Danio rerio: one gene and its partner. The protein of the gene in region 1 purifies or fractionates together with the protein of each later gene. This does not show direct contact. Links are inferred from orthologs where the notes say so. Each region holds a gene or a part of one and is shown on either strand. Other genes may lie near its edges. The genes, in order: mapk4 and fastkd5.

The links.
Region 2: the proteins of mapk4 (region 1) and fastkd5 purify together in Homo sapiens (affinity purification with mass spectrometry; 3 studies listed by BioGRID and IntAct, with this or other methods). This does not show direct contact. The link is inferred for Danio rerio from reciprocal best matches to the Homo sapiens genes MAPK4 and FASTKD5.

What each region holds. Positions count from the first base shown.
Region 1 is NC_133183.1:31,836,638-31,840,475, reverse strand, and holds part of mapk4 (mitogen-activated protein kinase 4), read right to left. Parts: intron 949-3,838; coding exon 804-948; intron 1-803. UniProt on the Homo sapiens protein: Atypical MAPK protein. Phosphorylates microtubule-associated protein 2 (MAP2) and MAPKAPK5.
Region 2 is NC_133180.1:1,990,848-1,994,500, forward strand, and holds part of fastkd5 (FAST kinase domain-containing protein 5, mitochondrial), read left to right. Parts: intron 1-3,482; coding exon 3,483-3,653. UniProt on the Homo sapiens protein: Plays an important role in the processing of non-canonical mitochondrial mRNA precursors.

The DNA of each region.
Region 1 (3,838 bases):
AATTATAATATATATATATATATATATATATATATATATATATATATATATATATATATATATATATATATATATATATATATAAATAAATATTGTTACGTTCAAATGATTTATGATTTATATACATTCAATATTGGCAAAGCATCAATTTGGGGGGAAAAACATAAGAAGAAAGAAAGAATTACAGCTGTACACAAACAACTTGAAATATGATATTAAAGTATGGGGGGAAAGAAGTAAACTTAGCATCACATTGTTTTGTAGTGTTTTTAATTTTTTTTATTTATTTAATTTATTTTTTTAATAATTAAGACATTTCTCTTTTTTAAAGTAATGTTTTACAGCAATCATTCCAATTTAAAAACAATTTTAAAGCCAAAATGAAATGTGTTGATAATATAATGTAGACCTGTAAATATTTTATATATACGTTTAATGTATACATCATTAAAAATATCATATAAACACAAACTATAAGCATATTTAAAACAGCAGCGTTTTTTATTGCTATTTGTATTTACTCAAATTATTGGAACCCTAGTCATGCATTTTTCCTATATTGTAACTGAAATAACAAAAAAAAAAGACATTTGCAACATCTTTTACACAAAATGCTTCATTTATTTACAATGTTACCGATGCAGTGCAGAACTGTGAAACTGATGAATTGACACATCAGGTCTAAATATCTATTTCAACATTCAGCCACTAGAGGCCGCTCTGAGACTCCAGATAATGAAGATTGACGTTTCTGTTGAACCACAAGGTTAACAGGACAGCAGCAGAAAGTGTTTTGTCCTCACCTGCGAACAGCATTCGTCCAGTGAGCATCTCGGCCAGAATACATCCTGCGGCCCACATGTCGATCGCTTTTGTGTAGTTATTTGGAGACAGCAGCAGTCTGGGCGAACGGTACCATTTAGTGACCATCCCCTCTGACAGGTAACCCTGTGCGGGAAACAATAAATGTGGTTAATATATATTTACACACGACAGTAAAAACGATTGATATATTTTCGAAGGTTGTCTGGCTGAAAAAAAAGATATTTGTTCAGCAGGTTACTCTGAATAGCAAATGAATGTACTCGGTATAGGCCTTCTGGTCAAAGTAGAGATGCCAAAAAGAAAGTAGCGTACACTTGGAAAAACACTTTTGAGAACATTAAATGTCAAACTATTTGTGAAATAATGTTCCATCGTCATCCTGACCTGTAAGAATGAAACAATATATGCCACTTATTCTGCCCTGTATTAAAATATATGAATGAATAAGTGTTTACTATATTCGGGTACACTTTAAAGAATTAAAAACTTCTTGATGAAAAAAGGTCAAATCTTTGGTGGTATGAAGGATGGTGGCAAAGTAAGAAGCTAAAATGTTATGAATAAAACTATTTTTTAGGATTTTGATTCTTTTACTTATCATGCCTGATTTGCATTTTAGTGCATGTCGTCTGTGGGCAACATGGCAGCTCAGTGGTTAGCACTGTCGCTTCACAGAAGGAAGGTCGCTGGTTCGAGTCCCAACTGGGTCAGTTGGCAATTCTGTGGTATAGGTGAATTGAATAACCTAAATTGGCTGTGTTGTATGTGAGTGAATGAGTTTTTCCCAGAAATGGGTTGCAGCTGGAAGGAGATCTGCTGTGTAAAACATAATGCTGGATAAGTTGGCGGTTCATTTCGCTGTGGCAACCCCTGATGAATAAAGGGACTAAGCTGAAGAAAAATGTATGAATGTATGTCTTCTGTCAATCCTGCACTCAGTATTTTGCTGAAATAAATGAAATGAAACATTGTGAATTCTTACATAAGGACGCTTCTGAAGTAAAAAACAATTGTATTGTGTTGTCTAAAGACTAACACACAAAATTTGATGCACAAAAATGCTCTAAATTATCAGTTTTTGTTATTTAAATTTTTGAAAAACTGTCATCAGTAGTTTACAAAATAAAACGAAAATGACATTTTACTCGAACACAACTATAAAATGAGATTCTAAAAACAAATAAATCTGATTTGGTCTTCATTGGACTTATTTTTCTATGGTGGCAGAGATGCATTTTATAACATCCTTTGATTAACAGAAGCTTCAAAAGAAAGCGGTTTATTTGAAAAAGTAATAATTTTTTGACTAAAAGTACACACATGTGTGTGTGTGTGTGTGTGTGTGTGTGTGTGTGTGTGTGTGTGTGTGTGTGTGTGTGTGTGTGTGTGTGTGTGTGTGTGAGAGGGAGAGAGTGGGGGGGGTTTCCCAAAACTGGATTGTGGCTGGAAGGGCATCTGATGCATGAAACATATGCCATAATAGTTGGCGGATCATTCTGCTGTGGTAACCCTTGATGAGTGACTAAGTCAAAGGAAAAATGAATTAATTAATTAATTTCAAACAAATGGTGTAGTTTGACATAAGGCCAAGCAGTGGCGCAGTAGGTAGTGCTGTCGCCTCACAGCAAGAAGGTCGCTGGTTCGAACCTCTGCTCAGTGTGAGGATTTTGCATGTTTTCTGTGCGTTCGTGTGGGTTTACCCCACAGTCCAAAGACATGCTGCAGGTGAATTGGGTAGGCTAAATTGTCCATAGTGTATGAGTGTATGAGGGTGACAGGCCCAGACGACAGGCCGGCCGGAATGTGTAAAAACAAGACGTTATCATATGGACAGGTCTAAAATGGCTTGTTCCAAAAAGCCGACCCCGCAACCATACGGGACTAAGGCCAAAGAAGAAGAAGAAGAAGGTGTAGTTTGACATAAATTGGTCGCCCTTTACAATAAGGTATCATTAGTTACTCTATTAACATGCTCTAAGAATAAACAAAACCTGCACAGCATTTATTAATCATTGTTCAAAATGTATTATTAAAATGTGAAGTAATGTATGTTAACATTAGTTAATGCACTGTATTAACTAACAATAACTAAGTTGAATAAGTCAGAGGAGAAATGGTCGTGCCCAACTGAGCCTGGTTTCTCTCTAGGAATTTTTCCTTCCCTTTTGTCAAATAGTGAAGTTTTGTTCCTCGCCACTGGCTTGCTTGGTTTTGGGAGCTGCACATTGATGGGTTTGCTCTTAGATCAGATGTTTGGACTTTCAGAAATGAAAATTAAACCGCACTGAACTAAACTGAGATTCAACTCTGAAAACTGGACTGACACTGTTTCAATTTACTAGAACTTTTATGTAAAGCTGCTTTGACAGAATCTACATTGCAAAAGCGCTATAAAAATATACATGAATTTAACGCAATACTGTAATAAATGTTTTTTTAGTAATGCATTACCTAACATTAACTAATAGAAACCTTATTGCAAAGTTTTATCCATAAATCTTACTTAGAGTAGGGTGTTATGAATGCAGCATGTGACTCGGCTTGTGTGTGAAGTGTGATAAAGAAACAGCTGATGTACAGTAGCTCTCTGACTCTCCGTAACCCTCTTCCTACAGTCTCCTTCTTTCATCCCCTGCTTTCTCACCTCCCACTCTCCCCTCGGGCTCAGGTGATGAATTATTTGTGAGATTTTAGCAGGGCGGATCTGAAGGCTGACGGTGACACAAGCGACAATGATATTTACATGTCCTGCTCAAACAAAGAGCCTTTGTCTTCTCGATGACGCTGATTCATGGAGACCTTTCAAACTGCTCACAGGAAACAACACCGCCAAAGACTGAAATTGAGAAATAATATTAATCAAATTATTTTTCTTTCAGGCATCTTGGTAAGTGTTGGTTGGTTTTCAAAGTAACTTGCACTGAGATGGACTGACTTTGAGGATTTTTTTTCAAGCCAAAAACGTATACATTTTTTGATTTTTTTTTTCAAATATATTTTATATAAATATTAT
Region 2 (3,653 bases), on another chromosome or scaffold:
TATAGCACATATTTTACAACACAACGTTGCCCAAAGTGCTGAACGCAATCAATACTAAAAATAAAATCTACATCACATACATAACAATTAAAACATAAGGCAAACCCCTCAACATTAAAAAGGCTCAAATACTAAAGAACAAAGATGGTGTTTCAGACGCTTTTAAAAAACAGGTAGAGTTGGAGCATGTCTGATGTGGGGTGGAAGCCCGTTCCAGAGTTTTGGGACGACAACAGCAAAAGCCCGATCCCCACTTCGCTTACACCGGGACCTTGGTATAGATAGAATAAATTCATCAGAAGAGCTCAGTGACCTACCAGGATTGTATACATGTAGCAAGTCTGATAAGTAAGATGGTGCCAGATTGTTTAAGGATTTAAAAACAAAGATTGATAGTTTAAAATCAATCCGTGACCAAACAGGCAGCCAGCCCAGAGAGGAAAGAACTGGGGATATGTGCTCGAACTTACGAGTCCCTGCAGCCACATTTTATACTAATTGCACTCTGTTTAGGGCGTTTTGACTAATACCCACATACAGGGAATTGCAATAGTCAAGTCTTCCCAAAATAAAAGCATGGATCACCTTCTCAAGGTCATTAAAAGAGAGAAACGACTTTACTTTTGACACCAGTCGTAAATGGAAAAAACTGGATTTAACAACTGTATTTACTTGTTTGTTAAATTTCAGATCACTGTCGAATTAAAATCCTGAGTTTCTAACAAGTGGAAAGTGGAAAGCTCACCAAAACCTGATAAATGCAGAGGGTTAGGATCGCCAAACCAGACCAGCTCAGTTTTTTCTCCATTGAAATTTAAAAACTTTGACGAAAGCCAGCTCTTGACCTCGACTAGACATCTCATAAGGGAGTCAAACCCCTTTTAATCCCTACTTTTTAAAGTGACATAAATCTGAGTGTCGTCAGCATAAAAATGAAAAGCCACAACATATTTACAAAAAATAGATCCTAAAGGTAAAATATATATAAAGAAAATAAAATAGGTCCAAGTATAGACTCTTGTGGAACTCCACATGTCATGTCATTCCACCCCAAACACACTTAGTGAATATTAATTAATATTAATGAATAATACACCTGCTCAATGAAAATCTGATGATTCACTACATTAATAAATCTGCCATAACTAGATCAGAAATCTAAAAAGGGGAGAAAAAGATTAGACATCAATAGCAGCAGATAACAGTGCAATACTTATTTTTTATCCCGAACTCATCACCTTAACAGCGCCAACTGGGTCTAGTGGTTAGCACCTTGCGTTACAACGTCGCCGATCCGAGTTCGCACCTCACCAGGATAATTTATTTATTTTATTTTATTTTTTTCATTTTTAGTGTTAAGACATATAATACTGAGTGTGTTACTTATGTAGGGGTACATTTTTTTTTGTGCGTGCGTGCGTGCGTGCGTGCGTGTGTGACGACCGTTACTATAATGGCACTCCATTATCCAAGCTGGAAATATGATCCTTTTAAGTAACCAGTCTGACGCGACGAACTCATCCAAGTCGTTATATTCTTTTCTTGTATTTATTTGTTCTTCAAAGCAGGAACAATCTTTTTCTTTATATAACGATACAATATAGAACGACGGTCAAAAACGATATCACTCCGTCTCTTTCTCTCTTTACATCAAGGATATGACATGATCAGTCATAAATAAGCAAAGGCATAATTAAAGCATGCAATAATAATTTAAATAATATTTTGATTGTAGAAAGTATAAATGCAATAAACAAATAACGATAACTATACATAATATTTTACAATTTGCATAATAAATATGGCTCTAACAGTTACAAAGGACTGGATATCTATAAAGAATTAATGTTCTCATATTTATGAAAAACATTTGAAGTTCTCATGCAGCTGTGTCCTTGAAAAAGACGTGTTAGTGTCATTAGAAACTGAATTGGAAATAACGTTATTTTAATATAGTCAGTCGTCGACTGAGGTGGGCCGGTCTAAGGCTTGAAACTCTAGAGCTAAAAAGCAGTCCCACTCCTGCCCTGTGTGGCATAACTGTTCAGTTCAGTTATTAACAGTAATTCTTATGCTGTTCCAAACACAAACACATTTTTGTAGACATCAAAAACAAAAAATTCAAGAAACCAGGTGTTGCACATTTAAGATACAACATTACTATAGTTGTACTATATACAATACTGTAGATGTTGTATTGCAACTATAAAGCAAATTAGTTCAATTACTTCCCTATAGTACTGTTCAAAACCACTTTTAAATATTGAAGTATTTACAGTATTTTAATGTAAATGCACTTGGGCACATTTGCAGAACAAACATTGAGTAGATTTAAAACCAATTCAACTCTAACAAGAGTACAGCATCAGAATTAACTTCAAGACTTCGATGTATGGTCCTGATTCAGAATTAATTCCTCTACAGTCATCTTTCCATCTAGCAAGTTTTTCCTGTCTGCCTGATGATGAGTGAGAGGTGGCAGTAGCTCACCAAGTTTGTTTTCGACCACCATAAAACATGAAGAATTTGCGATTCTTGCTATCATATGGATTTACCTTTAACGGCCAGACACTGGCTTTACAGCTCTGAACGGCAGTGGCGTCGCTTAATGATTCCTGATTGGTAAATGTAGCTTGTGTGGACGCTACTTGCTTAAAATAATAGATTCTGGAAAGCTATCCTTTGCTCCTGGAAAGCTATTTGATTTAGCAAGTAGCGATGCTGGTGCCACGCTACTGATGAATGTAGTTTAGCTAGTAGCGTCACTGCAAATTAATGAAATTTCAAGAATTCACACTTAGATACTGTTTGACAACTTGTTAGCAAGTTAGCAGGTTTGTCATGCTGTCCCGGAAGAGAACCCTGAGCTCGGAGATAGTTGAGCCCAGGGCTCCCGCCAGGTCCATAAAGCATGTGAGGGGAGTACGAGGTCAGGTGTTCTCGAGAGCTCCCCTCGGCAAAAGAGGAAAGGAGGAGAAGGGGTGGATGGGGGGTTTCTTCGGAAAACGAAGATAAGTAGATCTTAGCTAGGTTACTTATAGTGAGTTTGGATCAATCCAATTGGCTAGTCAATGAGTGTAGATGAGTGGCCAGCTTCAGTCAATCATATCACGTGCTCCTCTCGAAATTAGTTTGTGAAACTACATTTAATGTAAAAACTTTAAAATAGTGTTGTTTTTTCGGTAATACAAACTCCAGTGATTTACGTTTACAACTTTATTTTTACATCAATTAATCAAATTTGTTTTTTGATCAAGCTCTAAGATTACTGTCATCGTTAATAATTAATAAGAATCACGGTGGACAAAACAAATGAGCTATTAGAATGTAGTTATACAATTTTTTCTGTTAAAAATCATCTGTGAAACATCACTTGGAAAATATTCGTAAAGCATTAATTTTTTTTGTCTTCAACTGTAGGTAATATTACAACATTTGCATACTGTCAATCATCATGTCACTTTTTTTATGATCCCTTCCAGTATCTGCTGCTGATGTCTGCGAATGTGCTACTTCATAACGTGGCAAAGCGACGTCTTTGTGCTCACGTACAGCGCCTTTCCTTTCTTAAAACCCAGCGTTTGTCATCACATGTGGACAATGGAGAGCAAAAGAGAGAAGAACGCGAAAGCTTGCTGTTGTGCAAACATTCA